4 linked regions of the Yarrowia lipolytica genome follow. The protein of the gene in region 4 purifies or fractionates together with the protein of the main gene of each other region. This does not show direct contact. Links are inferred from orthologs where the notes say so. Each region holds a gene or a part of one and is shown on either strand. Other genes may lie near its edges.

Region 1 (6,414 bases), about 450 kb from region 4:
ATGCCCTTTCCGCAACGGTTATAGGCGTAACAAACGGAGCCCTTGGCAGTCACTTTGAAAGTCTTTCCTTCCACACAGATTTCGGTCTTATCCAGTTGGCCAAAACTCGCAAACAGTGGCTTTTCGCATACGATCAACGGATGGATCATGTTGGTGACCAGCCACAAGGTCCAATCATCATCTCCATCATGCCAGATCTCCGGGTCGTGTTTGTTGGCATAATCCACACACGCCTGCAAAAAGGGTCCCTTGTTGACGTGCTCGGGGTTGTAGGTGGTGAGGAGCTCTCTCAGGAAACAAAACATGCTGGCGTCGTGGAACTGGTCAATCAGCGACTGGAAAACGGAAGTCCGGTGATTTTCCCTGTTTTTTGAAAGCTCTCGAATCCCGGCATTTGGCCGTCTTTGATGACTTTGTCGAAGCCAAAGTTACAGGCCACCATTTCTCTGAAACATGTGTCTAGATCGACTCGGATATTGCCTCCACGGGGGTCCTTTTCCGGCATACCCTGATACCGCCCCTCCGTCCGAGTCCGGAAGTAGTCCTCCATATGAAGCAGCACGTTGGAGTTGAGCGCGTTGGTCTGGTGCATAAACAACGACACCCGCAAAAGAACAGAAGCGGGCAGATTCCGGGCGGCAGGAAACATGTCGATCAACAGCTTCTCCCGTTCGAACGCAGGCTTGTAAACAGCCATGCTGAATCGCCCCGAATCAGACATCCACATGGTTTCGGGAAGGGCCCGCCGAGCAGACTCAGGCAGACCCGTCCAAGATGACAGCCAAGCCGGCAGAACAATGCCATGGTGGTTAAACATGACCCCCAAACGATCCAACAGGTCCGGAGACGCGGTTCGGCGAGCCTTAAGAGTCATATTCTGGTCCTTGAATATGCCCACATTGTCACCAACAGGCAACCAACCATGGTCCGCGAAAAAATGGCTCGCCAAACTCATGAAAACGTGGTTTGGAAACGGCGGCTCTTCATTGTCGAAAACAACGTCCAAATCATACGTTTCGCGCCCGTCGTTCTTGAGCTTGAAATACGTCTCTCTCGCGCTCTTCCAGATGCTGTTTCGAATCTCCCTCACGGTCTCGCGAGCCTCCTCATCGACCATTGGCGGTTTCTCCCCCCCAATGGCTGCCAACACAATCTCCAGAGCGGTATCCTGATCATGCTGGGCACAAAACGCCTTCAGTTTCTTCTCATCAAGTCGATACAGCCGGAAATAGTCGCACGTGATCTCATAGGCATCCTTGAACGTGGTCTGGTAGCTGCCATACTTGGTCGAGTACTTGTCAAGGCGCCCTCGCGTCACGGGAGCCCCCATACAGCCACAATGGAGCGAAAACACCAGGTCGTAGATGGTACGCATCAGACCCAGTTGCATAATCTCCCGTAAACACGTCTCAACCACCATCCGCATGCTCCAGGCCCAGTCGGAATGGGTCACGTTGTCGTCACTCATGTCCATCAACTGCTCATAAGTCGTCAATACCAGACGTTTCAAAACACGCATTCGTCGTGGACACGGTCGCTCGCCCGGGCAACTGGATGCTCCTTCAATTCCCAGCTCGAATCGGTCGTGGATCTCCCCCAGATCAGGTCTCACTAACGTCGGCCGCATGGTAGGACAGGCAAAGTTTGGATTTTTGTTTTTGCTTTAGATCTGGTGCATTGGTAGGTGAAATCACGAGATTTTCAGGTTGCGGACTCCTTCAAATGTGCTCTTTATGCTGACTAATTTGTGGGTCGGTAGCGATAATATTGAAGGTGGTGGTATGTTATTGATGACAAATGTACGAAAAAAAAAAGTGAGAAAGTAAAAATAAATATACATACAGTATGCCTTGATGAAAGTCTAACTAATGACGTGCATCTCGCTTAGTGAAGCCTAACTATTGTTTACTAGATTTTTTCTGTTTTCCTCTTTTCGGTGATTTTTTTATTTTTTATTTTTTACAATCCATACGAATACAATATAATACATCCACATATGTACTCTCATTCACAAGCTCCCTAGAGCTCACTGAGAAAACAACAAAGAAGCAGCCAACTCCACATCGCCGTCAGTCTGCTTGAGAGCAACCACAACCTTTTCCCTGGAATAACCCAGAGACATGAGATTGACAATATCTTCATCCTTGAACGCGTCTCCGGCAGACCCATGGTCCTGTTTCTTTTCCTTCTCCTGGCCCAGCTTGCCAAACTCGTCGGGAAGATCCTTCTCGCCCAAGAAGGTGGCCTTTTCCTCCCCAATCTCCAGCTGGTTGGTCCGCAAGTTGACGTTGGCCTTGAATCGCTTGAGCATGTCGAGCCCCAGAATGAATTGGAGCTGGTCGCCTTCAATGACCGAAACGGAGGCGGGGAAGAACGAGGAACCGATCTGAAGAGGCACAGAGTGTACGCGGCCCAGAATCTTGCCCGAACCCACTCCTCGCGCCACACCGGCAAACTTGACATCCAGCATGTGCGACAGGCCGACCTTTTCGCAAAACTCCTCCGACAGAATCGTCATCTGGGCTCCGGTGTCCACAAACGCCTTGACATCGTGTCCGTTGATACGGCAATTGATGTACAGCATGTCTGTTCGAATAAACATCTCCGGGTGGTGTTCCATGGCGTTCTGGTACGACTCCTCCACGTTTTCCTGTCGAATGATCTCCATGATTCGTTTCTGGTTGTCTTCATTGTCGGGGTCGGCGTAGAGCCGCTGCAGCTCCTTCTTGCGCTCGACTTCCTTGGCCCGCAGCTCGTTCTGCAGCTTGGTGAAGGCGTCGGAGAACTTTTGTGAGTCGTGCACGTGCTCGGCAAGCTCGGGGTTGCTGAGTTTCAGCTGATCCAGCGAGTCTGCTCGCTCCAGAATCTGCGTTCGGATCTGCTCGGCGCGGGGATCAACCCGCTGAGCCGCGGGCAGTCCGGGAATCTGGATTGACGAGAAGTCCAGTGTGGGAATGGCGGGCTGGGCGGACGTGGAGGGATTGGGAGCCACTCGTTTGGTGGTGAGAAGAAGCATGGAGTTGTCGGTGACTCCAAGAGACCCAATCGTCGCCTTGGGGTCTGTGTCGACAATGGGGTTGCCGTTGAGACTCAGAATGATGTCCTTGGACGGCACGGACGCCTCCATCTCTACAAAAGCCAGCAGGTCCTCGTAGGCCATATCTGCGGCGACCTCTAGTCCAAACACGTTTTCAGATGGCGTTGTCACAAAGATTTGCATGTTAAATGGGCGGTAAATGGGTGGCGGGGTGGCAAATGAGTGAGTGACAGAGACGGTGGGCGTGTGGGGAGCTTTATAAGTGTTAGACGGTTGTGTGGGCTCCGTTTTGTGTCAGATCAACACGATAATGAGTGGCGGTTGCAGGAGGGTGCATAAACTCAGATTAGGAGTGGAAGTATTGGTAATCAGAAATTGGTAAGATTTTCAAGAAGAAACAAAAGGAGAATATTCTAGAAAAGAAGCACCAAAAAGTGGCACTTGGGGGTCTTCGGAACGAGATATCTCGAGATATCACCACCATCAAAACCCCACCAATGATAGTCACCTGTAGAGTATGTACCATACCTACGATACTACAGCATGAATTTCAACTCTGTCGAGAAAACAGGGTAGGGCTTACTCCTACGCTGTGCAGGTAAATATATATATAAATGAGGGCGTTCAGCCCAATGAGGTCCTGGGTCCTGGGTCCTTGGTCCTGGGTCCAAATTGTTCCAGCCGAGATCCAAATTTGTTTCAGCCCGAGATCCTAATGTTATATGAATAAATGGGGGAAAGAATCCGTTTTTATGCCCCGTCGCCAGAACACAAGAGTATGTGCGTTTGTGCCCGGCTGGCTGGCGGGCTGACTACCACCACGTTGTTGTCCACGGCGCCTGACTAGTGCCGTCTCAACAACTCCCTCTCGTCGGAAATATCAAAGCCGTCGTCCTCGTCGTCCAGATCATCCAGCCGCGTCATGCCCAGCGACTGCTCCTCGTCGTAGTCGTTGACGAGCCGCACCTCATGCTGTCTGAGCGAATCGGACCGTCGATGCAGCGAGTTTCGGGCAAACTGGGCCGACCGTCGGGTCTGCAGCGACGCCACGCCATTGTCCATGGGAATGCCATCCAGAGCCCGGCCGGGCATGAGGTTGGATCCATCGGGGTCCGTCTTGGAGATATTCAACAAATAGACTCCGGTGAAGATGATGAGAAAGCCACAAATGAGCGAAATCACGTCGACGGCGGAGCTGGTGTTGAACCCCTGGAACAGAATGAACGAAGCCGCCAGAGTGCAGGTGGTGAAAGTGACGTAGTACAGAGGGTTGACAATGTTGGTGTCAAATTGGTCGAGGGCCTTGTTGAAGTAGTTCATCTGGGTGACGATGCACACCGCCACGACGATGAGGAACACGTAGGTGGATGGGTGGGTGAACTGGTTGTTGCCGCCCAGCGACAGCTTGAGGGCGATTCCAAACGCCTTTATACTCATGACCGAGATGGAGCCCACCGATGAGCAGATGGAAATGTAGATCATGGGGTTGACTCGTCCCAGTCGTGGGGCCACCTTGTAGATCATGAATCCGGCGAACGCGGCCACGGCGCAAATATACATGAGAAACCCGGGCTGCACGGCGTAGTTGAGAATCTCGTCGACGGTCTGAACGTCCTTGTCGGCTGGCGCATGGAGCACGATGATGACCGAGCCGATCAGGCAGATGGCGCAGCCCAGAGAGCCCAGAATGCCGAGTTTTTCCTTGAGGAAAAACGACGCCAGAACAGCTCCAATGATGACGGAAAGCGCGCCCAGCGGCGTGACAAGAATCGCCGGCGCAAACGTGTAGGCCGCGAAGTTGGCTATCTCGCCGACCGCCATGGTGATCATGCCGGCCCACCAGATGGGGTTTTTCAGATAGGCAAACGAGTCGCCGGCGTCGGCCGAGTGTCGGGAGGAGGCATCCATGAGACCCTTCTTGGTGATGATGAACGACGTGCCAATGGCCAGCGACGACGAGATGGCCAGCGCCAGTCCAATGTATTTATCGTCTACCATGGCGTGCTGTAGGGTTCTGTGTCAGTAGATGGAGTTGAGACCAAGAGGTGCATCCCACGTCACTCGAGCTCAACTTTATTGCGTCTGACAGAGACAGAGAGAGTGGTGAGGAGTGGGTCTGGGAGGGCGGTGAAAAGAGATTAGGGAGAGCGCGGGTTTATATATTCACGAGACGCGATTCCAGGCACGACAAGTTATGTGTCACTCCACCACATTACGCTGGCGTCAAAATGGTACACGTGATATATCCCACACCCCGCTAAAATAACTAAAATTGCAGGTACAAAAAACTGTCGCGTATGCACTGCCTCTTCCTACAACTTCCTACAACTTCAGCAGCAGCATGACAGGGTCTCGATTGTCACGTGGGTAGGTCATGTGATTGTGATTAATAAGAGGTAGATGAATAACACAAATGAAATAAAATCAATTGCATCTTCTATTTATGCGATATTAGTACAGTAGTTATCTCCACTCCTTCTGCTACCCCAGATCAATCAAATTTCAACCGGTTCCAGTTTTGGAAAATAAAGTTGGACCGATTCGAATTAATGAAGCCATTTTGGAGATTTAAAAGTGTTCCAAAAGACGTGATTTTCGGTCTGGCAATTTGAACAACCCAGATTATCTCATGATATAAATTTGAAGACGATATATCCACCATAACATGTCAAATCAGACGAATTTCACCCGAAACTGCCCTCGAAACTCTATTAAATAGAAACAAGCAAAATACGTACGTGGCGTGAACCAACATGGAAAAACAGCCACATGGAGATGAACATGGCTGGGGAGGAAGGTCCAGAGATTGATTAGCAAGCAAGGTTGGATTATGGACAATGAGTTCGTTTGATTATTAATACGTTTTGATTACTATCACGTGACACTCAAATAACCCTGCGTGCGTCTTTTTTCTTTTTTTTCCCTTTTTTTCCCCTTTCTTTTGTTCAATTTTTTCCCCTCCATCCGTCGTCTCTGTTCTGTAGCAGTTGATTATTCATCATTCTTTGGCGAGCAGTCAAAATGCTGCAAAACATGCCAAGGAGGAGTACATACGTACGGAGGGTGGACGGAGGAACATGGCGTCATCAGAGCTAGAAGAGTCACGTGACGCACCTCGAGTTTTATCAGATTGATGTTAGTATCAGATTGATATTAGTGCAATAATAGCTGCTACAATAGCTGCTGTTCTAATACAGTGTTTGTGCTGCCATAATCTAAGTAATGTACCGCCAAGATAAGTAATATACTTGAAAAAAGGAGTCGACATGAAACCTCAGAGAACATTCCTCTACGGAATTGTTCCAGATCTGGTCTTTACAGGTGATATTCCACAAAAAATTGAGCAACTTCTCTCTGTACCAGTGTCATCGTTGTAG
Region 2 (10,518 bases), on a different chromosome or scaffold from region 4:
CACCACCACAATGTCCTTCCAAAACAAACGAGGAGCTCTCAATCAAATCACCAAGGACGACTTTGAGGGCGGCGAAGGATACAGTCGAGACGAGCCCGTGGAGGAGGCTCGAACAGCTGACGCCGCTACAATGTCCAAGAGAAAGGTCTTGCCCTTGCCCAAGAGACGAGGCAACGGAAGCAGTGGATCTACTCCTAAGGCTTCCAATGGCTTTTCTGGACTGTCCAGCTTCGGTTCTGGAGCTTCTCCTGCGCCCCAGATGTCGTTCTCTTCTCCTAGCACTACCGGGGGGTTTACCAATACCAACACTACCAACAATGATTCAACATCAGATACTACATTGAAGCGTATTGCAATGAACGAGAAGTTCGTGGACACTATTTTCGCCAAGGTACGGGAGAATGCCGCAGTTGATTTGTCTGATGTCGTGAGCAAGTATCTCGAGTACTCTAAGACACTTGGAGGTGACCATGCAAACGTTGCTAACAGCACTACCAGCACCACCAGCACAATTTCTGCGCCTGTTACTACAGCCACACCGACTCCTGCTTCTGCCGACAAGCCCAAATCGTCGCTTTTCTCGTTTGGAGCTACTAAGAACTTTTCCGCTGCCAACACAGACACTGAGAAAAAGGACACTACCTCCACCAGCACTTTTACATCATCACCCTCCTTCAACTTTGGAGCTGGGGCAGCCGCAAAGCCCGCAGTGTCGAAACCATTCTCTTTCGGTACATCTAGTGATACCAAGGAGGATAAGCCTGCTGTAACTACTCCCTCTTTTGGTTTCCCTAAGGCTGACACTACTAAGGAGACAGACGCCAAGGACACCACCACTGCTGCCAAGCCCTTTACATTTGGATCTTCTACTCCTTCTGGACCTTCTTTCAGTTTTAACAAGTCTGGAGCTGATGTTGCCAAAGAGAAGACTGCTCCTTCTTTTTCGTTCACAGCTAAGAAGCCCGAAGAAAAGAAGGAAGAGAAGAAGCCTGAGCCCGTTTCTGTGGACTCCGATTCCGACTCTGACGACGATGCCATTGACATCACCAAGGGCCCCAGTTTTACTTTAGCTGCACCTCCCACTACCACAAACTCTGCTTTCTCTTTCAGCAAGCCTCAGAGCGAGGTGAAGAGCACAGGTCCTTCGTTCACCTTTGATAAGAAGGTTTCCAGCGGTCCTTTCAATTTCAAGTCCGAGACCAAGACTGAGGAGAAGAAGGAGGATAAGCCGGAGGAGAAGAAGGAAGACAAGTCCGAAAACAAGAAGGACTTCACCTGGAATCCCTCTCAGGGAGTTGTTTTCGGCAGCAACAAGACCGAAGAGTCTGCCGACAAACCCGCATTTTCGTTTGGAAGTACTTCTTCGGCAAAGCCTTTTACTTTTGGCGCTAAGGCTGATGATGCTGAAGACAAGCCCAAGCCTGCTTTCTCGTTTGGATCTAAGTCCGCCGAGTCATCTGACAAGCCTGCCTTCTCATTCGGAGCCAAGCCCGCTGAGTCAGCCTCTTCGGACAAGCCTTCTTTCTCTTTCGGCACCCCTGCATTTGGTGCTAAGACTGAGTCTTCCTCTGACAAGCCTGCATTCGGTGTTTCTTCCGGTAACCTGTTCAAGGGTGATACCAAGGGGGAGACTAAGCCTGCTGCTGCTTCTTCCACCGAGTCCGGTGAACCAGATGACACCCCCAAGACCGTCACAGACTCGGATGACCTGTCAGGACAAGGACCAGGTGAGGAGAACGAAGACAATGTCGCCGAGTACCGAACCAAGCTGTACAAGCTGGATGACGGAAAGTGGGACGTGTGTGGAGTGGGTCAGCTGAGAGTGCTGGTGGACAAGGACACAAAGAAGGCCCGAATTTTGATGCGAGCAGAACAGAGTGGACGAGTGCTTCTCAACTGTGTGGTTCGAAAGGAGTTGACGTACTCGACGACAAAGTCGAACGTGAACATTGTCGATTTCGACGCGGACTCGAAGCCAATCAAGTACATGGCCCGAATTAAGACTGCTCCTGAAGCTGAGCAGTTGTCAGCTAAGATTGAGGAGGTGAAGTAAGGAGAGGGGTTGACATGAGGTGATGTAATTGAATACGTTGTAACATATCCCATGATTAGTAAATGCATGGAGGAGGGTATAGAGGGTGCTCGTGGCATACAACTGGGACCGGCACAAATAGGTGTGTCCATTCTGTATATATCTTAGTGTTTACAACATCCATTACACTTTAGTGCCCTCTCTCACTCTCTGCAAGGAGATAAGGAGTAAATCCAAGGGGGATCGTATGGAATTTCGACGAGTATCGTGATTTTCCTTCGAGTCAACAAAAATCCCAACTAAATTTAAGTGTTGTTAACAACCTAAGTAATAGATCTTCTACAGGCCACACTCAGTTCCACAATAGCAAGAGAAGAACAAGCCATTATACTCGAACAAGAATGATAGCGATTGAATCCAATGCTACTGTACGTACTGTACTCCGATAACTTCAGCCTGTCATTCTTCCATCAAATTCTTCACTACATACAACGCCAATTCATATGTTACATCCAAACTAATGGCACAACGTCGTCATACTTATAGGCGAACATAATCACATCATACTTTTAGAGAGAAGAGAACAAAATAGAAAGGCAACATGGGGATATTATGACATCAATCAACTCCTCCAGAGGAGCTGATCAAGACTATATAATTTTGATCCCTCTATTCTCTCTACAAATCCCTCTACACTCCCCCCCCTTTTTCTTCCCCTCATGTATGATCTCAACGGCAATACCATAACATAATAGCTGAGGTTACAACCAGTACGTAGCAGCTAACACCGCGACGATATAAGAGGCCACAGACACCCGAAATGAATGTTTTTTTTTTTTGCACCCCTTCAGTAACAGCACGTGCCCACACGACACCTCACGTGACCCATTTGCACCCCCTTGCACCTCGCCACCGCCACCATGCAGTCCAACCTAGATCTGCTATCGCCGATAATCTCTCTCCACTACAACCACCTCAGCATGGACGAAACACAAGAATTGCAGCTGGTCAACGCGGTGGATCTGCGGATCACAATGGCCAAAGAGGACAAACTGGGCGAGACGATCGGCGTCTATCTGGTGCCTCTGTTGACCAAGCTGGCGTCCAAAAACGTGTCAGTGCGACAAAAGGTGGTTGAAATGTGCCAGCATATCAACACGCGAATCAAGAACACGACATTCAAGTTGCCTGTCGACGCCTTGGTCAAACAGTTTGTCGAGAGTGACAGTGAACTTATCAGAAATTTCGATCTCATGTACATTGAAATGGGTATTGCCAGAATGGGTGATGATGTGAGTATTGTGGGGCGATAACTCCTTCAAAGGGTTAACAACCCGCTGCTATTTATGGGCTACAGACAGTTTGCGGACCCCATAATGATACAGACAGGTGGTGGTTCCACAACTCAATTGTGTGCCACACTGACATCAATGTCTGATCTGATATATGATACGATGGTGAAACAACAGATGTCTAGTTTAAATGTGATCTTGAAGATCCATGAAATCTAACGGAATGAATGCGTTAAAGCTAGGGTTTCCTAATACTATCCAAGCAACATGGCTTTCAGACCATGTCACTATCTGCAGCTATGATCTTTAGCAACACTTCCAGATACAACCTGCTCTTGTCTTTCATCCTCTACGGCCACTCATTACCGTTACTAACCCAGAAATCTACCCTCATCATTCCCCTTATCTCCTCAATTTCCACCCTCTCCTACAACCACTCCAAAGCGGTCTTCCGCATCCTACTTAAACTCCTCCCCTTCATGACCTACCCTCCCCGAGGATCCACTGAAGCAGACAAGTTTCGTGAAACCCTTGACGTCAACGACAACGACATTGCGTACCTCGCTCTTCGCTTCACAGACGTGTTCAATTTCTCTGCCACCAAGAGAACCGGAATGACCATCAGAGAATACGAGTTTCTGTCAGCCGAAGAATGCACCACTGCCGTCAAGAGTCACCTGCTCAAATTCATTAGTGCGTTGTTTACAGACACAGAGTCGTACATTCCTCTGTTGTGTGCGTCTACAGACGGCAGTTCAGCCATTGGAGAGCCAGCTAACGACGCCTGGAAGAAACTCCAGGTAGATTTGGAGTCCGAGATGCTTACTAACCAGCTCTATCAGCTTCTCCTCGGGTACAATGGATCTTCCCCTGTGAAGCAAACGACTCAGGCAAAGATTCTCGCGGCTCTGTGTCATTCGGTGCATGCTGCCAACGTCGATGACGCCTTCAGAGCCATCCAGTACTTCACCCAGACTGATTTCTACTCTCGAGCTGCAATCATCCAGTTTGTTAATTGGATTGTGAAGCATTCCAATGAAGAGCTGTTTTTGCGCCACTCTGGAGACCTTCTCGAGCGTGTTACTCACCTTGGAAACGATGCCAAGACCGCCGAGTCAGCACAGGAGCTCATGGGCGGTATCCTGCGTCGAGACTCTCGTCTGCTGAGTAACATTTCTCACGTGACGTTCCTATTTGACCGGAAAGCAGGTGACTCTTTGTCAGAGCTCATCAATCCGCTGGCAAAGTACCCCGAGACAGCTGAGAAACTGATTCCCCACCTGTCTCGGTACATCAGCCACCAGGCGACTCAATTTATGGCTGCTAAGTACGCAACTCGAGTCTTCCCCTATTCAAGCGCTCATGCGCGCTTCCTTTGTCTTGTTGGCCTTACTTTTGGCCGGACAGACATGCTTGAGGAGTGTAATCGGGGACTGAACCCTTACTGGATGCGAGCTGTTAATGTTCCATACATCACCAGCCATGATTCGCTCGACGTGATCAAGGGAACTTCGGATTCGGACATTTTCCAGTTTCCCGATGTGTTTGAGTTATGTAAACTGATCCACGAGTCGAAATTTGATCTCAAAAAGGCCGCAGAGTGGATGTTTCCCTACCTGGTTCGGTTAACTGTGGCTACAGCTATCCAGGGTCATGACACTGTTTGTGTGGTTGATGAACAGTGGGAAACACGTGTGGATGAAGCTCTGAAGAGTGATGATCACGTGAGAAAGCTCGTTATTGAGTATCTGAGCAAGACCGACATTTCTCCTATTCTAGATATCATTTCCACTCATCAGACCTTCTCCACTCTTCCTGAAGTGTCACTGGAGCTCTACTATTCCCTGGTTTCTCTGTCTACCAAGTCATACAATGTCTTTGATGCCAACAACAGCGTGGTTCAGCTTGCTCTGACCTCTCCCTACTACAAGATTCAGTCCCACGCTGCTCGTGTGATTGGCCTGGAGCAGAGCGAAGAGGTGGCTCATAATCTAATTGCTCAGTGTTTCAACCACGTGCCAAAGAACGTTGATGGACCCATTCTCGTTTTTTCCAACCTGGTTTCTTTCCTGTCTGAGTCAGACATCTCCTCCGCGCTGGAGATTTGTTCCACTCATATCGATATGGAGTCCGTTCAGACTTTCTTGAGTGAGATGAAACTGCACAGAATCTCTCTCGACAACTGGAGCCGTCTCGATGATGTCAAAAAGAAGACTCTGGTCAAGCCCACCGAGCATTCTGTGCTTGCATTTGCTTATCTCAACTTGGACAGTCCTGATTTTGAGTCCAATGTTGATAAGATCTTTGCCATTGAGTCAAAGCAGATGGATTTTGCCTTCTTCACCGGTGAGGCACTTTGTGTGCTTGCTGCTGGGTGGGAGACTAAGTTCGTCAAGCGAAAGATGTGGAAGATTGCAGATAAGCTGCCTGTGAGTTCCCTGGCAGAGGAGCGAGTGAGCCAGCTGACTACCAGACTGATCAACATGGCAAAGACGGTGACCAAGCCTTCTCTGCGGAAGAGTACCGCCATATGGCTTCTTTCTGTGGTCCAGTACTGTGGTCATATGATCCATGCCCTTCTTCCTCAGTTGCAGCTTGCTTTCATGCGATTTTTGCCTGAAAAAGACGACATTGTCCAGGAGGCTGCTTCCCGAGGATTGTCTCTTGTTTTCGAGCAGGGAGACTCTCGATTGCAGAAGGATCTGGTTGAGAATCTTGTCTCCTCATTCGTCACCGATAAGTCGTCTCACAACCAAAAGGTGCATCAAGAAACCGAACTTTTCGAGCCTGGAGTTCTCAATACCAACGACGGATCGATTTCCACTTACAAGGATATTCTTTCGCTTGCTTCTGAAGTCGGAGATCCCTCTCTCGTGTACCGATTCATGTCTCTGGCTAATCACGCGTCTCTCTGGTCCTCCAGAAAGGGCATTGCGTTTGGTCTGGGTAACATCTTTGCCAAGGCTTCGCTCGAACAGCAGCTGGCCGACAACCCTGCTCTTGGAAACACTCTCATTCCCAAATTGTACCGGTACAAGTTTGATCCTAGTACTGGACAAGTCATGGCCAACATTTGGAAGATGTTGATTGGCGAGTCTTCCACTAAGACGGTGAATTCCCATTTCGAGAGCATCCTCAAGGAGCTGCTCTCTTCCATTTCTTCCAAGGAGTGGCGAGTTCGACAGGCTTCTTCGGCTGCTCTTTTGGACCTACTTCAGGGTAGACCCATCTCTCAGTATCTCGATCATTTGTCCGAAATATGGACAGCTTGTTTCCGAGTCGTTGACGATATCAAAGAGAGTGTTAGAACTGCCGGTCTTGGTCTCACACGTGGCCTGACTACTGCTCTTGTTCGGTCTCTGGAAAGTGACTCCATTTCAGACGCTACTGCAAAGCAGGTGCTGGACCAGATTATTCCTTTCCTGCTCGGAAACTCCGGTCTGCAATCGTCAGCTGAAGAGGTCCAGCATTTCTCTCTGGATGTGTTGCTTCAGCTGATCAAGAAGGGCGGTTCTAGACTGAAGCCTTTTATTCCAGATCTTCTCTCCGAGTTTGTAGAGTTGTTATCCACCCTCGAACCGCAGGCAATGAACTACATTGCTCTAAACGCCGACAAATATGGAACGACTGCCAACGACATTGACTCGTCGCGCCTGGCTGCTGTGCGTCACTCCCCCATGATGGACTCCATTGAGGAGATTATCGACCTCTGTGACGCCGATCTGATGAAGAAGATTGTTCCTAAGCTGACTCTGTCAATAAGAAAATCGGTTGGGTTGCCCTCCAAGGTTGCTGGTTCGCGAATCATTGTTACCTTGACTATTAGAAAGACCCAGCTGTTCAAACCCTACGCTGGTCCACTTCTCGTCAAGTCAGCCATTCCCAGCATTTACGATCGAAACGAGACTGTGTCCAGATCGTACCTTGCTGCCTGTGGCTACCTGTGTCGTTTGGCGGACGACGAATCCGTTCTGAGCTACATTACTGAGTTGCAGAACCTGTACTTTGGAGAAATCCAAAAAGGTACTCTTGAACGAGCTCGAATCTCAGCTGCTATTGGAGTGAAGGAGATCGCTGCTCATGCCGCTGACAAGTTTGACTCGTTGTCAGCCTCCTTGTTGCCCCTCATATTTGTAGGCAAACACGATTCAGATCCTGCTGTCCAGGATGTGTTTACCAACATTTGGAATAACAACACTGGAGGCAAAGGGGCCATTTCTCTGCACATTAAGGAGATTATCGCTCTGGTTTCGCCCCATTTGTCTTCTCAGCAGTGGAACATCAAACAGATTGCTGCTACTTCCATTGCAGATGCTTGCAATTCTGTGGGTAAAAACGTTCTGAATGATGAGCTCTTCGAGGTGATGATCTCTGCTTGCCAGGGTAAGAGCTGGACTGGGAAAGAGGCTGTGTTTGACGCTCTTGTCTCTCTGGCCATCAAGTTCAACCTCCACGATGCCGTTGTTGATAAGGTGGTGACCACTGAAATCAAGCGAAAGAACCGAGAGTACCAGATTCTTGCGCTCAAGTCTGCGTCTAGGTATCTCGGCCACTTCCCATCGAAGCAGCTGTTTGATATTTTCTCTGACATTTGTTCTCTTTACCTCCTCTCCAAGTCGGACTTAGAAGACGTGGATATGGATTCTGATGATGAGGAGGAGCTCCTTAAATCCCAGAGTGAGGACAGAAGAAACGCCATTCTGGGCACTGCTATCAGAGCTCTGTCGATTGAGAGCACCGACGAGGACGTTTCTTTCCTGTCATCCTACTTTTCTCAGGTTTCCGAGTGGATCCAGCTTGCTTTGACTCCTCCCAAGAATCTGAACAAGCTGGCCACTAAGAAGTCTGTAGATCCTACATGGAAGACAAAGTTGTGTATTTCGCAGGCTCTGTATTCCGTTGTTATTGGTTTCTTCGGCCAGGAGAAGCCTGCTGGGTTTGAGAAGCAGTTCCTGGAGATTTGGACCCTGGTTGCTGATACTTGTTTGCTGACTACTAATTTGGACAAAACCAAGGTGGAGGTGTGTAAACTTGGGCAGGCTGTTTTGAACTCGAAGATGAGTGATGCAAGTAAGGAGAAGGTGAGAGAGGTGCTGGTATTGGCGGAGGAGCATGAGCAGTCGTTGATTGTCAAGGCTGAGCTCGGGAGAGTTCTGAAGAGCATCTGAACGAGGAAATCCGACCCTGTTGGTGATGTCAAATTAAATTGATTGCATCAGATGTATTATGATTAGATAGAATAAATTGATTAGATGTATTTTTCATTATTTTGTAATTACATAATACTGTATATTGTATGTATTCCACCTATTCGTTTAGTTAGTATTTAGTTGACATTTAATTAATTCTAATTAGTTAAGGTTACAATTATGGTGGGGATTTAGTTGGGATGATGGTTGAGATGAGGGAAGCAGAATGGTCTGCTCTAGACAGCCTCCCTCGCCGCTAGAACTGACATATAGATTTCTGGTGCATTATGTAACCGATAGAGAAATTCCAGGTTCTCCTCCATGTCTTCAATGCTCAACCACACTTAGTTTGCCACTCCGCGGTCATGCCGAGGTATGTTAAATGTTACATGAGTATGTCCGCTGTGTAAAGGGTAAAGGGTATAACCCCGCTGTTCTGTCCTACTGCATTCTCAACATGTTTCCCAACAGTTCCTTGGTATCCACTCTTGACCCGGTCTATGACTATTGTAGCTAGTGTGAGATAAAGGACTAGCCCTGTCTATTAGTTCCTACTAATGGCTATTCCGAGCTTACTGCATGTACTGTAGTAGAAATATAGGTCAAGTGCGAATGACGTAATTTTCGTTAGTGACACTGAATTTGATCATCAGAGTGTTTTCTGTCATTATCATTTCAGCGTGGCAAATTCATCTACATCTACCATTTCTCCCCCTATTTAATCCATTTTATACCGCAAAAATGCGTGCCCTAGCTTTTATCAACGCATCTACCCCACCTTATCACGTGGCGCACGAGGTGCATAATCGTGCAGAGCAAAGATGACGTCAACCGAGGGGGATGAGTGAGTAACGTGGGGCAGGGCATGTGGACGTGGACAGGGAGACATGTGACCAGCCCCCTGAATACGGAGGGGTTGTGTGTGTGTGGCGTGACTTTATGAGCAATTATGTCTCCCCACGTGATCCAGAACACGTGACCGGAGCGCCGTGGCTGCCTTTTCGTCCCGTTGTGGCGGTATTTAGTTCAATCTCTGATTGCTTTCTGGTATGGACATTTCCCGGGAGCTAATAAAGTAAGGGTCATTTGATGTCATCTTTGCGTGTCCCTTTTAGGCACTCTTTGGCCGTGCAAATGTTGTTAAATGGGAACCATGATTGGTGCTTATTTCCCGCAGTCATGTGGCAAACGGCGGTCCAAGGGCGGGCCACAGAGGGGTGTTGGCGTGGCTGGAGGCATTTGTGCGGACAATGTTATATATAGAGGGTTTCTCCCTCCCCATTTTCTCTATCCGGTCTATATTTTTATCCCTCATACCTCAATCATTGCGGTGTGATTGTTTTGGTCTTCCCCAGCTATCTTAAAGTTAAATGCGTTGATAAGGCTTGTTGTGAGATAACGTGCATACGCGTCACACACATCCATAAATAAATCTTGCTACGCGACTTTGACAACTTGTACACTTGTACACTTGTACACGACTCCCCCCAAACAAGACACCACACGCTTCCAAACACACGCTCCCAACCAGCCACTAGCCACCATCCCACCTAGTCACACACTGCCCAGACACAGAAACACAGACAAAGTCTCAGACACAAACACATCCACATTACTATCGGTAGAGTCCTTCCCGCCCTACCACTTGCATTGCTGCCACATAAATTGCGGCACGAAACACATCCATAGAATCGCAGAGTCTCTGAAGTCACTTCACCACTAAGGTACTCACCGTTCACCACACCGTTCACACATACCTTATCACCACTGAGGTACATCACTACAGCCTCACTACCAAGGTAATTTTTCCAAGACTCACTACACCACCTCTCCACAATGTCATACCTGTCGCCCTCTTCTTTCTACTCCTGGCTTTCGGGATCCAAGAACAGCCAGCGTGACACGGCAGAGCAGCTCTCGACAGTCAACGGCGGCCTGGTCCCCCTGGACCCCAACCAGCGGGTCGTCACAACCCTGGAGGACGACGACGAGTACGCAGTCGTGG
Region 3 (6,736 bases), on a different chromosome or scaffold from region 4:
GTCAATCGCGCTTTTGACCGATCCACCCCCTCTCCCCTCTCCTAGCTCCTCTACGCCACCTGCACCACGTTCGTTAAGTCGATGAGCTGTCACCTACGAGTACAGTAACTCTGTGAGCATGTGCAGCCCGGGGTATGCAGGGTTGTCTCGTAGAAGGTGCGTGTACTGAAACGCAAGTGAGACCGAAGGAATGAGGTTGTACAGCTTGTGCAGAGATTGTGTGGCGGTGAATGGAGCCGCTTTCCCACCTGCTTCAGACTGCAAAACTACTGGCAACTAACTCACGTGCTTATTTACCAGTTCTAGTAAGCAACATGCTTATTTACCTGCGCTGTCAAAAAGAGCATACTGTGACAGATTGTGGAGACTTCCAGAAGTTGAAACGAAAAGGGAAATTGAAGCATGCCCTTGTAGATCCCAATGAGAAGTGTACTCGTCCTTGCACTTGTCGTCACGTGGTCAGTTAGGTGAGATCGAGGGATGGGGTCAATATACAACTGTCACGTGACCAGTATGATAGGTCCTTTGTGTGGTACAAATACACATTGTATCATCAATTAAAGCCCTTTTTTTTTTTTTTTTTTTTTTTTTTCACTCATGGCTCTTCCAGACTCCTACGGAAGACTGTTACTGTAGCCGCACTTGACTGAAAAGTGGGCTACTTGTAGGTGGAGCAATGTTGTCTGATGAGATGGTGGTTCAGTAACGGCAAATGTCGTGGAGTAGACAGGCGTTTAGTTCTGGGGATGGGAGGCCCGCCATGTTATTCGATTTTTCTCTTCTTTCTTTTTGTTTGGTTCTTAAATGGTAGAGGTAGAGCCAAGTATTAGGTCAAGTAAACGATCAAGTAAGATCCTAGCTTTTGTAAGCATTTTACCTGCTAGAAAGATCCTGCTAATTCCACTACCAGGGGGAAGCAATGGTAAGTAAAACTAAGTAATGAGATCACAATGCCATACTTTGTCGATCCATCTCAAAAACTGTCTCGAAATACTCGCATTGCGTCGTTTTGATTGTTCTTCGCCATCGTCTTTTTCTACCTCCTGCTCCTGCTCCCAATGCGTTGGAGTGTATAAAAGTACGTCTCACACAGTCTGATACATACGGCATCACTCTCAAACATGTCATGGAAATACGCACTAGGTCAGTACATAAAGAGTCCTGAAAAATTCCCCAACGATGTGACTCTCGACACACCAGACTTTGTCGTGATCAAAGATGCGTTCCCGAAATCACATATCCATTACCTGGTGTTACCCAAGGCTGTCAAGCCCGATACCCATCCTCTAAAGGCGTTTGAAGACGACAACCTGTACGAAAAAACTCGTGCCATGGTGGAAAAAGTTGAGAAAATGGTTGCTGTCGAGTTCATTCGTACAAAGGGATACTCCAAGGACGTGAAGATCCAGTCAGGCATCCACTCGGTGCCCAGCATGAATCATGTCCATGTCCATGTTATGACGACAGATCTGTCTTCTCCCCGGCTCAAGAACCGCACACACTTCAACTCGTTCAGGACTGGCTTTTTTGTGCCATTCAGAACGATCCCGGATCTGAAAGTCCCAAGTCTTGACGCCTGGATGGTCTCACAGGAGAAACTCATCAAGGGGGACATTGTGGTGGATGGAGAGAACTTTGGGAACAAGTTTGCAAAGGCCAAGAGAAGACTGGATGAGGATTTCCACAAAGCCACGATTCACGGTATTCCAGAGGAGGTGGAGGATGATGATTATAGGGTGATGGAGATGATCTCTTAAGAGACAAGTGGCCATAGATAACGAAGGACATTCATATGGAAATTGATGACATTATAACGAAAGCATGCTCATGATACAAGTAGCAACCAGGTCGTTTTCTCTCAGTACGATCTCGATGGAGTGTAATAGTTGACAACGTAGCTGAACATGGCAACATCGTGATAAACTCATTATCAGTATACATCATATGCCACAGCTGAAACATAATAGTGCTTTGGCACTACAGGCAAACTACACTCTCACTTGCGATTAAATGCTTAACTAGTCTACTACAACTTCTCGTACTCGAGCTTACCCTCCAGCTTCTTGTTCTCGGACACCTTTCTGCAGGCCTTGAGCAGATCGTTCTGAACAATGTAGTCCCGATCGTCTCGGATGGCAAAGAAGCCAGCCTCGGTGACCACGTTTCGGATATCTGCTCCGTTGAAACCGTCGCTCATCTTGACCAGGGCCTCGTAATCGATTTCGCCCTGCTTCTGAACGCCAGCAGCGTGGATCTTAAACACCTCCAGACGGCCGGCCTCGTTGGGCAGTGGGATCTCGATCTTTCGGTCCAGACGGCCTGCTCGCAGCAGGGCGGGGTCCAGAGTATCGGGCCGGTTGGTGGCCATGATGACCTTGGTCTTTCCGAGATAGTCGAAACCATCCATCTGGTTCAGCAGCTCCATGAGCGTTCGCTGGATTTCTCGGTCGGAGGAGGTTCCCTCGGAAAATCGACGTCCTCCAATGGCGTCCACCTCGTCCATGAAGATGATACAGGGCTCGTGTTCCTTGGCGTATCCGAACATTTCTCGAATCAGACGGGCAGACTCTCCAATGTACTTGTCGACGATAGCTGAGGCGGGCGAGAAGATGAAGTTTGCGCCAATAGTGGCGGCCACGGCCTTGGCCAGCAGGGTCTTTCCTGTTCCGGGAGGGCCGTACAGAAGCACACCCTTGGGAGGCTTGATTCCGACTCGCAAAAACAGCTCGGGGTTCTTCAGAGGCAGCTCAATGACCTCTCTGAGTTCACGGATCTGCTCGTTGAGGCCACCGATACCGGAGAAGGTCAGCTCTCCAGGCTCAAACGTGGTCATGTTGTAGACAAGAGGATCGACCTCTCGGGGAAGAATTCGCATGATAGTCAGAGTGGTCATATCCAGAGACACACGCACACCCTGCAGCAGCTTCTCCTTCTTGATGCTGGACCGACAGCCCACAATGTATCGGGGGCCGTTGGAGGCTTTGACGATGAACCGCTCCTCATCCAGCTGCTTAAGAACCTCGCCAATCAGCTGGCCTACCGACTGTAGCGCCTTGATGTCGTCCTCGGTCTTGTCGAATTTGCGCTCGAGGTCTCTGATGCCCAGTCGCAAGTCCTTGAGCTTGACCTCGTACTCTCGATGCTCCTTGAGTTTTCTCTTGAACGACTCGATCGCCTTTTCCCGCTCGGGATCTGTGGGTGTGGCAGCCACCTCGGGCGCCTCCTGGTTGAGAGCTGCGAGCAGCGGGTCGTTTTCCATGTTGTGTGTGTTGTGGTGTGTTGTACTGATGTAGTAACTGGAGCGTTGAGGTTCTAATATGTGAAGTGGTGATGCACCTCCCAATATTAGTGTTTGGTAGAAGAGTGGCGTATGGTGGCGAGGTGAGTGAAGGTGAGAGTACAGTAATGACAAATATAGACAGAATATCGGGGAATAAATGATCATCAATCGCTTTTATATTCCTCACTTATTGCTCTCAATATCCCCATTACTCCACAACTACTCTAAAACCTCGTATTCTGACACCTTCCACAGGATTACGTGAGGTAACAGAGTCTGGATGGGTATGGGTGGACCCATTCGCTCTTGGTGGTTATGCAACCACAGATCTAGTAGAGGTACCCGTAGTTGATGTGCTGTAATATAGACACAATGACAAATCCATAAATAAAGTGAGAAACCCCATTGAGGAGAAAGAGGTGTACATCTAATTATTGATTACATAAGCGTATAAGTAACTTAACCAAATTGTCACATTACTTCACCCAACAGTTGAACTATCTTTCATTTTACTTCAGAATGACTTTGAATATAGGTCTATCCAACTCTACCAATATAGATCCCACATATAATCTGAAAAGTGCATTCTTCTTGTAATTTCTCAGACAATCTGCTTCCATCATTATCTTATCGATAGGATATCTCCACATCTTGTTACAGACACCGCCATCCCCGTCAAATAAACTCCGATGCAAGCTCCATGTGCAGTGAAATTTATTAGCATTGAAAAGAAGCACATAAAAGATCACATAAAGCACACACCACCACCACTCTGTGCTAAATCTCCTCTGCTACAATGGGAGCCGACTTCAAAGTGTTCATTCTGTGCGGCCAGGGCAAAAACATGGCACCTCTCTCGTCCGTGAGAGCGTCTGGAGTGCCCAAGGCCCTTCTTCCCATGGCCAACGTGCCTGTGATCGACTACACCCTCAAATGGTGTGAGACCATCCCCAACCCCAAGGTGTTTGTGTGCTGTTCTACAGCTGACGAGGCGGAGATTTCCGCCTACGTGGACTCTTTCAAGGCTGAGCACTCCACCTCAGTTGTGGCTTCCAACGTGACTATCTGTTCCAAGACCGATGCGAAGTCTGGAGACTTCATTCTGGAGCTGACTCGAGGGGAACCCTCTGATTTCATTGTGGTTTGCTGCGATTTTATCACAGACATTCCCGCCAGCTCGCTGGTCGACACCTACCGAAGCCGAGACTCGGACTCGCTTCTCACAGCCTTCTACTACCCCAATACCCTGGAGAACGTGGACAAGAAGTCATTGCTCAAGGACGTGACGGTGCACTCATCGCTGGACTCGCGAACCCCGCGGCTGCTGGACTCGTATTCGCGTGACTACATTGAGAACAAGAAGACCATGCCCATCCGCCGATCCATGCTGTGGCACTTCCCTAAGTCTTTGGTCTCCACACAGCTGCTCAATGCGTCCGTCTACTTCTGCACTGCCGACGTGTGTAGAGTCATCACCGAGACTCAGGCTGCCCCTGAGGAGGATTCCACAGACGAAGATCCCGACACCCGATCTTCGTCGCCTGTCAGACAAGAACAGGAGGAGGCACACACCATTCTGGCCAAAGGCCGACAGTGGGACCGAGTGGTTCGAGACATTGCCCGACGGTCGTGGGCACATGCGAAGCCGCTCAAGTCTGTGTCTCTGTGCGTTCTGGACTCCAATACCTTTGCACGAGCAAACAACCTGTCTGCATACATGGAAATGAACCGAGTGATTCTGAAGGCAAGAGCCAAGGCCAACGCCACTGCCCAGAAGCCCGCTCCAGCTGTTAAGGGAGCTGCCACTGTTGGTGTCGACTCTCTGGTCGGCGAAGAGACCCAGCTGGGCGAGCGAACCAGTATAAAGCGATCTGTGGTTGGAAACAACTGCACCATCGGCAAACGATGTCGAATCAACGGCTGTGTCATCTTTGACGGCGCTTTCATTGCCGATGACGTTACTCTGGAGAACTGTCTGGTCGGAACTAAGACCACAGTCGGTACCAAGGCCAAACTCACAGGCTGCAATGTTGAAGGAGGATACAAGGTGGAGGCTGGCAAGGTGGCCAAGAACGAAACCATGCTACAGCTGTCCTTGGAGGGTTTGATGGAGTCCGACGAATACACTGACGACCATGACGAAGATGACGATGATGACGATGACAGCGAAATGGGCGACTCGGACGATTGGTCCGTCAGCGGAGGAGACGACTACGATGATGATGATGGGCTCTTCGATCGGTCTTAGAAGGACAAGTATAGCTAATGTATGTTGGATAGAGTATGGAGTAATTACAGACTTGATCTAGAATCACAGAACATTTTCACGTTCTGAAATGTTCCGCACTCGTATGTGATGTTCAAGTATAGTTGTATCTTGTACAATTATCTACAGTCACCGAATCCGCCACAAGTAATATACATAATTGTCATCATTCATTATTCATTACTGTTCTGATACATACAGTATCATGCCATAGGGTCGCTAGCACTTTCTATGAGTACAAATATTCCTTCGTGGTGCTGCTCTAAACTGAGATTAAACAAATGCTTCATCTCCTAGCCTCTTCCTCAGAATTTCAATCTCTTTATCGAGATCCTTCACAGACATCTCTAAAGGCCCCAGTTCGTCGTACTTTCGCCTCTGCTTGGCCTCCAGCATCATGTTCTCCACCATAAACCTCTGTTCCTCCATGACCACCAGCTGTTGCTGAAGTGCCTTGTAGTTGGCAGGAGGACGGGGTTTAGCTGGCTCGGGGGCTGTAGCTTCACTACCCAGCACCTTGGGAAGCGTTTTCAAGGGCAGCATCTTCTCTTGTAGAAATGACACCGCAGCTGTGTATATCTGTTGCTGTATTCGCTCTTCTGTAGGAGACAGTCCCTCCAGTGCTCCTACTCTTCTAGCAGCCGAATCTAGCTGCGAAAAGGTATCGAGAAGACGCTTACGCAGCTTGGACGCTGCCAAAATGTCCTTGGGATGCATACCGGCCATCTTTTTGGACGCAATCGTCTCCTCAAGCTCCTTTTGGAACCGAGGCATCATGTTTTCGATGGAAGTGGTCAGATGGGTCATGGTGTTGTACAGCTTAAGCAGCTCGCTGGGATCGGAGTTGACATCCCGCTGAAAGTTACGTCTACCAAAGACTGTATTCTTGCAAGTCATGCAGATCCGTATGGGTTCGCAATCTGTTGGAATGGTGTCGCTGAACTCCTCTTTCATATCGAGACTGTTGATTAAAATGTTCACACCAACAGGAAGAGAACATTGTGTGGATGTCTGTCCACACACCACCTTTCCGCACACCCTGCAATGATGAGGGCGGATCAGAAAGGTGAATTTGACCTGGCATTCCGGACAATTGGGCTGTGTTGAGTCTTCCTGCCATGGTACTGAGGCTGTGACAGCCGCCTTGGGTTTCCACCAGGGTCCCGAGCTCTCGTTCTCTATGCTTTCCT
Region 4 (8,304 bases):
TCCTGTAGGAGGACTTATTGCTGACCACTTGGGCTGGAGATACATGTTTTCATTGCAGGTTCCTTTTGTGGTTCTTTCTTCCTTCTTAGTGTTCCGGTACGTTAACATCAAACCAAAGAAACTAAAGGTTTCTAACGCATCTACTCTGGAACGAATTGATGTCTTTGGATCCATCTCTATCGTCTGTTTCCTGACCCTCCTGTTGCTGGTCATCAACATGCAGACCGACACTCGAACACTCTCCAACAGTGGAACTCTCCAGATGATGTCTCTGGCCAGTGCCATTTTCCTGGCCGTGTTTTTGTACGTCGAGATCAAGATTGCACCTGAACCTATCATGACCAAGGCTGTGTTTGGACACCTGAAGCCCACTTTGCTGACTACATCAGTCTTTTTCACAACCATCACTCAGTTCTCAGTTATCTACTACACTCCTGTCTTTCTCCAGGTTGTATTTCTGGAGAGTGCTGCCCAAGCAGGTGTACGACTCATTCCTCTATCCATTGGAGTATCCTCTGGATCCGTTATCACAGGCCAGCTTCTCAAGAAGAACACCAAGGAACGATATCCTCGAGTCTTTCTTGCCGGTCTGACTACTGTGGGAATCTCCTGTTTCGTTCTATCCCGGCTGATCAACTCTTCAACTCCCCACGAGGCTACTCCCTTGGCCAATGTGCTCAAGAGCCACGGAATTTCCCTGGAGCTCGTCATGGCCGTTAATCTTGCCTTCCAGGGTCTTGCTCAGGGCCTAATTCTCGTGTCAACACTCATCGGACTGTGTTGCCAAACAGGAGCTGCTGACTCAGCCTCTTCCATTGGAGTCATCTACCTCTTCAGATCACTTGGATCGGTGCTTGGAGTCAACGGAGTTGCACACATTCTGCAATCGCGTCTCCGTTCTGAGCTTCCAGGAATCATTTCCGACCCCGAGCTGCAACTCAAGGTCCGAAAGAACGTTGAATTTATTAACCACCTAGCTCCCGAGATTCAGATTGATATCCGAAACGTCTACAAGCACGCTCTTGCCTACGTGTTTTCGTCGTGTTCGTTTATCGCCTTTATTGCATTCTCCATGGGTTTCATCGTCTGGTGGCATTCCAGAAGAACTGAGAACTAGACAGCACCGGTGCGGTATCTGTCACAACAAAAAGAACCATATAGATGTTCTAAATAGCTAACATGACTTAAAATTATGTCTCCAACTGTAGCCCAGAGACGTGAATTAACAAGATGGGAGTTGAGTTGCACTTTTCATGAATTTAGTTAGGATTACTGAGGTAAGGCAGCTTATAGTTGTGGAGTTTGTTTAGAAAACAATACGCAAAAACATCCCATCAATACTCGGTAATGACGGTCAGACTTGAAATAAAACCCGAAGAATCAATTAATTACCACCAGGTAAGACACCCATTAAGCCCCCAAATTCTCAACTCCCCATTTACAGCTTCTTCGTGACTGCCCAAATAACCAATTGCATCCATCAACAGGCAATATTAGAGCACAAAGTTACAGGTTGCAGATGACCATCCATTTCACCACCATGCTACGACAAATAGGACGTCACAGCGTTGGTCTGAGACGGTACACGACCGCCGGAACACGTGACTCACATGTGCTCACTGGCTCTGTCTACGGCACCACCGAAATCGATCTGTTCAACCGTCCCACCAGTACGGAAAATGACGTGAAACTGGAACCGTCTGAAACCGCCAAAGTAGATGGAAAAGTGTCCATGGAGCCCCGAATCCCCAACAAGCTCATCAGTCAGGTGCGTGGTCTATTTCCCGATCGGGACTCTCTCCATGCCCGAGTTTCTCTGGCTGATTCCGTCGGTAGAACCAGAATCGGTATTGTGCCTCTGGGTCCCCAAGATATGACTGTCAAGAAGCGCAAGGACGCTAACATTCTCAATGCTCTACTGGCAGACCCACTGGCATCCGACCAAAGGTGGTACGACGCTTTTCTGGCTAGAATTGCGTCCAAGGATATCGTTCTGAGTCCTGGCAAATACACCGGCCACGGCACACAAAACTCGCGATGGGACATGAGCTTGCCCTCGCCATTCCTAAAGGAGGTAGATGTGGACATTATGGAGGCCACTTCATTCGCGGATTCTCTCGATAACATTCGAGATTGCCATTGGATCATCTATGTCGGAGAAGGAGAGGGTCTCAAGGCATGGCCCTCCGTGAACCTGCGAGACCTGGCTGAGGACGACTTCGTGGCTATTGTCAGTGCCACACTTACAGTCAACTCCGAAGAGGCCTTTGAGGCCGTTTCTCTGCTCAGAAAGTCTCCTTCCAACTCCCCCAAGTACCTCAAGCTGTGGCAGAAGTCCAATTTTGAGCAATTATCTCGAGCAATGAAGCGAATGTCCGCCAACCACGACCGTGCTCTTCGATACAGCATTTACCAGACCTGCCGGGATTTGTGTGCCTCTGACGTGTCCAAGGAGTCTCTTATGAAGGGCGAGGCGGACACTATCAAGACTCTGCGGTCAGAATGGTCCCGAAACGCCCACCGGGAACTCCAGACGGTGCTAAAACAACAGCTGCTCAAGTGGCGACAATCGGAACTGCCCTGGTACAAGCTGTACTGGCGAATTGACGACGTTGATGGAATCACCCGAGATTCTCTCGAATACGCATTCTTGCCTGCTTCAAGACAATCCATGTGCTACCTGCTTGGCCGAATCGACGGCTTTGCCTGCACCACTCCTAACTCTCCCGAGCCTCTCACCGACGGCATCTACGGACTTTCTCCCGTCGAACATTGGGACAGCCCCTCAGACGACGTGATTGGCCAGACGCTGGAGGAGTTGGATGACACTCTGGTGTCTGAGCTGCACTCGAGAGCTTACCACGAGTTCCTGAAGGTTGTACTCGGCATCCAGCTTCCTACAGTCATCATTCCTGCTCTTGGAGTATACCTCTACGACCTTTCTCTTTACAACATGGGCTCTATCGCAGCCTTTGGTATTGTCTGGGGATGTTTCAAGCTGCAAAAGACCTGGGACGCTCTCTGCAGCGACTTCTCTGTTGCAGTTTTTGAGAAGGCCAGAGCCAGCATCAACTCTTGTGAACAGCTCATCTGGAGCAGATGGGAGGGTAAGGCTATCGAGGAGAAGGAGAGAGTGGACGACCGAAAGAAGTTGGTTGCGGAGATGGAGGAGTCGATCACACAGAACAAATAGACGATGTGAGCGAACCTGTTATTGTCTGTGGTCAGCGATGGATTATGATGAACCACGAAACTACTACGGTACGAATGTATGTATAGAATAATCATCTGAAATTACCTACAGTTCAGAGTATCGTCGTACTGTCACTTGTACTGTAGCTACGCTATAGAATCTGAATAACTATTACTGACTTTAGAATAGATCAAATCGCGGCTGTACATCCGTTACTACGCTCCTGCCATTTATTGCTGTATCCTACTATTCATTTCCATTTATTCATTCCATACCTATCAGAGTATGCTAACTGCTCTCATCCATTCTGTCGGGGTTCTTCTTGAGAATGACAACGCCCTCCAGAGACGAGGCCAGAGGAATGTACTCGTCGTCCTCCAGCTCGGCTCGCTCGCCATGACTCAGCAACACGGGAGTGCTATGAGTGACCCAGCCGGTGATGGTCTTGGGCTTTCCGGCCTGACCGACTGTATCCACAGCCTGTCCGACTCGCACGGGCACCTTGATAGGCTCCAGCTTCTCGTCCAGAGTGATGAGCATGCGGGGACGAATGGCGTTAGTGAGCCAGAAGAGCATCCAGTGGTTGTCGGCTAGGATGAACGACTTGGGGTCGATCATGGTCACCAGAAGGGTAACCAGCGATGCCAGAGACACCTTGGACAGAATCTGTCGATCGGTATGGAAAGGAGACACAGTAAGAGTACCCTTACCCAGATAGAGCAGACCCTGGGCGATTCGGACGGTGAAAAGTCCGTCGGGATCCTTAGAGTAGTAGGAGGCGAGCTGTCGGAGCAGCTGGGCCAGACGGGCGTTGTTAGTTCCCGCTCCCACCAGACCCATGGAGAAGATGGAATTCAGAGCAACCTCCATATCGGCGTCATGTGAGTATCGCGACAAGGTGTCAAACACACGCATCTGTGCGTTGGAAGCAGACACCAGACCCATGGCAAGAGGAACAGCTCGCTTCACCTGGGCATCGCCGTAGTGCATGAGATGACCAAAGTGTCGGAGAACCATCTCCTGGCCAATTTCCTCACCCATTGCAACAATGGCCAGACCAAGAACAGAGTATGCCTGGTGAGAAGAGGCCTCTTCCGAGTCCACCTCCTGTGTAGCATCAGCAGCAGCCTCTCCTTCGGCGGCGACGGCTTCGGCGGTAGCGTCAATGGCGTCAGCAGCATCCGCAGCACCCTCAGCACCCTCAGCGGTAGCAACAGCACCCTCAGCACCCTCACCTTCACCATCGCCTTCTCCGTCAGCCTCTCCCTCAGTAACATTCTCTCCAACACAGTCATGCAGCAACTTCTGGATCTGCAGAACGTTACCAGTACCGGCGTAGGCACACACAGTGATGAGAGTCTCGCAGATTCGGCCCAGAGGATGGTCAATGGCTCGAACAGTCTCAACTGCCTCCTCAATCTCCTCGTACTTGCCAATAAACAAAAGAGCAAGACCCAGAGCCATGAATCGGGCCCACTTGTCAGACAGCTGGATGGCATCTCGCTCAAGCAGAGATCCCAACAGAGCAGAAACGACGTCTCCGTTAGCAGAGCCGACGAAGATGTGTCCCAGAGCAAGAGCAGCCATGGCAGAGGTCTTCATGGAGGTGTCAGTGTCCTGAACCAAAGGCAGGAGCATATCCAGAAGATCTGTCCGTCGAGATCCGGCGTATGCAACACCCAGACCCATCACAGCAGAAAGCTGGTTCAAGTTGTATGCGTTGCCGTTGTTGTTCTCAGCTGAGGGCTCCTCGGTGATGTGGTCGGCAAGAAGAGCGACAGCAGCGTCTGTCTCGTCGTAGACACCAGCAGTGACAATACCCATACCCAGAAGAGCTCCAGCCTTGATCTGGGGCTCGGAAGAGTAGGCGTACTTGTCGAGTTGCTGCAGACCTCGACTGAGATCCCACTGGAACAGAGATCCCAGAGAGGCTGTGGTGGAGTACATTCCAGCGAGCTTGGTCTTGTAGATCCAGGCACCAGATGCTCCTCCAGCAGTAGCGTCTCCATCATCCTCAGCACCTCCATTGGTCAGCAGACGGTCTGCCGAGTAAGCACAATTGACAAAGGCATTGACGAACGACGCAGCCAGGTTCTGCTTGGCAGAGTCAAAGGCCCCCGACATGATGATGTCTCTTGAGTTCTCCAGGTGGCTCTTGTAGATGTCTTCTGGAACCTTTGGCTCCAGCAGGTTGAGCTCCTTAGTGAGGTATCGGAAGTGGTCAGCCAGCAGGGCGTTGGACATGCACTCCTGTACGCCCTCGTCAGCCACATCAAAGTAGCACTTTTGTCGAGCTAGAATGAACGCCAGCTGCTTCTGCAGCAAATCGTCGCCACTGGCAGCATCCATAACCGATTTAATGAGCTCCATGTCATCCAGACGGATCGCCAGGGCCAGAGCCTGGGTCAGCTGGCGGTGGGCCAGGTAGATAGCATAAGCGGTGTGTAGGAAGGCCACGTCATCTGGGGGTGCCAGCAGGGGCACACAGGCGACCATGTAATGGCAAACACGGGCGTATGTGGTTTCGTCAACGAATTTAGGTAGATGCTCGACGGCCTCAATCTCCAGCAACAAGTCCACGGCGTCGGCTTCGGCGTTGTGTTTGAGGAAAAAGGGTACCAGCTTGATGCCCAGGTTTCGTACGTCGGTGAGCGATCCAACACCAGAATTGGGGGTGTCCAGAGTTACGCCCTCCTTGGCATCGTCGCTGGTCTCAACCTGCTGCAATTGATACTCCTGGCCGATTTCCAGAGCAAGGTGGCGAACATACTCGTGTCCCCAAGATCCCAGATCGTCGGTGGTCGACTTGAGTCGGAATTTGAGTGCATCTCGCTTGCCGTCGCCGGAGTAGGTCATTGCGAGGACGGAAAGCACGTCTGCGAGCTGCTGCTTGTGTTTGGCATCGGTCCAGGTGTCGTAGAGCTCAGCAAGCTGGGGGTAGTGGGGCCGCAGAAACTTGAGAGGCTTGGGCACAGCGGTCATGGACGAGGTCGAGGTTCGAATGAAGTTTTTGAGAGCCTCGAGCGAGGGCTCGTACAGAGACTCGTCCTTCTCGGTCAGACGCTCAACCAGCATCTCCAGCTCCGACTTGAGCTTCTCGTCCTCCTCAGACAGCTCCTCTTCATCCTTTCGGGCTGGTTTTTTGTTCTTGTCGTTGGGGGCGGTCTTGTCGACGGTCTTCTCAGCCGACTTGTCGCTCGGCTTATTAGTCACGTCCTTGGCAGCCATGATTGAGATCGATGTCGGGTGGTAAAGAGATCAGTGGCAATTCCAATGACGTCTACTTGTATGTGGATGTGGTTGTGAGAAGCCTAAAGAAGGTTATTGGGAGGTGGCGCGAGTTCGATTTGCAGGTGGGTACGAGTGGATGGGACGTGAGCGGCGGTGGTGTAGTTGAATGGGTTGGTAGAATGAGATTAAACTGATTTGACTGATTTGACTGGATCGAGATACTTATATTCTTGTAATCTTAAGACAACTTGTCGACTTGTGCCTCAAAGCACCCCTGCTGGGGATTCTGTTGGGATCATGATTACATAAGCTAACTGGTGTGGTTATCCTGATGTGTTTGATTTGGATCGGTGAATACTGTACATGTTGCCGTTCTTTGCATCATATCCAACCAGATTACATGACCAGAGAAACCGAAAGCATCGCAAAAGCGTATAAACTGCGCCCAAAGCTCATACCAATTCGATTGCTAAAATGAGAGCGCACAATTGAAGAGCTTTGAAGGTGTGGAGGTGTTTTGGAATAGACAGCTACCAGAACATCGTGTACTGTAACACTTGATACAGTGGCTGTGTATCTGACCCCATACATGGCCACTTTAGCTCACAAGTGTCAGCCAGTGGCTATCACTACTTTGCCGCACCTTCTAAAACCTCATTAACAAATCCAACTCTTGTCTGCCCACCTGCTGGTCTACCGCAGACTTGGTTAACATAATCAAGGGTCTCTACTGATTAAGTGCATATGAATCCTGCATGCTTACGGAGATTAACATAACTCCGAAAGCTGATTTTGGGGCGAGAAGGGGTCCATTTTTTATTTTGAAACCGTCAAATGAATATTTCAGGCAAGAAAATCCCATCTACATAGTCCAGTTTCTCAATCATCTCCTCAACACTAAGATATACTCCCTCCACCCCCACATGATTGTCTGAGTTTATTCGCCCCACATACATGGCATATAGAATATGGCGTGAGCTCTTCTTTTCCAGTACATCTCACCACTCGTCACCCATGCTCCAGGAACCAATCAATCTGCCCAAGTGGCTCGAGGAGAACCAGCACCTGCTGAAGCCTCCGGTTAACAACTTTTGTATCCAGCGAGGAGGCTACACTGTTATGGTGAGTGATTTATGACATGAGTCAATGATCCAGCTGGGGAAGATGATTCACAACTATTGTGATTTGCCATTGCCCAATCAACTAACACAGATCGTTGGAGGACCTAATGCTCGAACTGACTACCACATCAACCAGACCCCTGAATGGTTCCACCAGAAGAAGGGCCACATGACTCTCAAGGTGGTGGACGATGGAGAGTTCAGAGATATCACTATCAACGAGGGCGATATCTTCCTGCTCCCCGCCAACGTGCCCCACAACCCCGTTCGATATGCCGACACCATTGGTGTTGTGGTTGAACAGGACCGTCCCGAGGGCATGAAGGACGCTCTGCGATGGTACTGTCCTAACGAAAAGTGCCGAGAGATTGTGTTTGAGAACTCGTTCCAGCTCGTCGATCTCGGCACCCAGATTAAGGAGGCCATTCTTGATTTTGACGGTGACATTGAAAAGCGAACATGCAAGGCTTGCGGTACTGTCGCTACTTCCAGACCGTAGACAGCTGGTAATCAACGGCACTGCCAAAGGCACCAAGTATCCTGTTAGTCAGTCACGCGAGGTAAGCTACGTGAACTGACAGCATATCCACACACCAGGGGAAGCCGGGCATGGGTGATGAGTCCGAGTGTGTGGGGTATTTATTCAATACACAGTGCTCATATCACGTGAGGTACTAGTTTGATATGTATGCCTAGTACATACTGTAGCACAACACCAGTCATGAACTGGAGAGCCTCTGCTTTCCACTATGTATACCA

What was found. The genes of interacting proteins can lie anywhere in the genome.
Region 1: the proteins of YALI1_B04321g (region 4) and YALI1_B08801g purify together in Saccharomyces cerevisiae (affinity purification with western blotting; 3 studies listed by BioGRID). This does not show direct contact. The link is inferred for Yarrowia lipolytica from reciprocal best matches to the Saccharomyces cerevisiae genes RPN1 and DDI1.
Region 2: the proteins of YALI1_B04321g (region 4) and YALI1_C05088g purify together in Saccharomyces cerevisiae (affinity purification with mass spectrometry; 3 studies listed by BioGRID). This does not show direct contact. The link is inferred for Yarrowia lipolytica from reciprocal best matches to the Saccharomyces cerevisiae genes RPN1 and ECM29.
Region 3: the proteins of YALI1_B04321g (region 4) and YALI1_E25866g purify together in Saccharomyces cerevisiae (affinity purification with mass spectrometry; 9 studies listed by BioGRID, with this or other methods). This does not show direct contact. The link is inferred for Yarrowia lipolytica from reciprocal best matches to the Saccharomyces cerevisiae genes RPN1 and RPT4.

Annotation. Positions count from the first base shown.
Region 1 is NC_090771.1:876,996-883,409, reverse strand, and holds YALI1_B08801g (uncharacterized protein), read right to left. Parts: upstream 3,221-6,414; coding exon 2,027-3,220; downstream 1-2,026. Other genes in the region: YALI1_B08831g (uncharacterized protein), read right to left, coding at 1-305; YALI1_B08817g (uncharacterized protein), read right to left, coding at 329-1,627; YALI1_B08783g (uncharacterized protein), read right to left, coding at 3,881-5,035. UniProt on the Saccharomyces cerevisiae protein: Aspartic protease. Appears to act as negative regulator of constitutive exocytosis. May act at the level of secretory vesicle docking and fusion as a competitive inhibitor of SNARE assembly.
Region 2 is NC_090772.1:502,079-512,596, reverse strand, and holds YALI1_C05088g (uncharacterized protein), read left to right. Parts: upstream 1-3,012; coding exon 3,013-3,324; intron 3,325-3,704; coding exon 3,705-8,492; downstream 8,493-10,518. Other genes in the region: YALI1_C05125g (uncharacterized protein), read left to right, coding at 11-2,053; YALI1_C05022g (uncharacterized protein), read left to right, coding at 10,350-10,518. UniProt on the Saccharomyces cerevisiae protein: Stabilizes the proteasome holoenzyme, probably by tethering the 20S proteolytic core particle and the 19S regulatory particle.
Region 3 is NC_090774.1:2,583,295-2,590,030, reverse strand, and holds YALI1_E25866g (uncharacterized protein), read right to left. Parts: upstream 3,446-6,736; coding exon 2,027-3,445; downstream 1-2,026. Other genes in the region: YALI1_E25889g (uncharacterized protein), read left to right, coding at 1,122-1,757; YALI1_E25859g (uncharacterized protein), read left to right, coding at 4,077-5,528; YALI1_E25826g (uncharacterized protein), read right to left, coding at 5,820-6,736. UniProt on the Saccharomyces cerevisiae protein: The 26S proteasome is involved in the ATP-dependent degradation of ubiquitinated proteins. The regulatory (or ATPase) complex confers ATP dependency and substrate specificity to the 26S complex.
Region 4 is NC_090771.1:430,277-438,580, reverse strand, and holds YALI1_B04321g (uncharacterized protein), read right to left. Parts: upstream 6,422-8,304; coding exon 3,482-6,421; downstream 1-3,481. Other genes in the region: YALI1_B04391g (uncharacterized protein), read left to right, coding at 1-1,117; YALI1_B04370g (uncharacterized protein), read left to right, coding at 1,520-3,193; YALI1_B04309g (uncharacterized protein), read left to right, coding at 7,439-7,546, 7,637-8,044.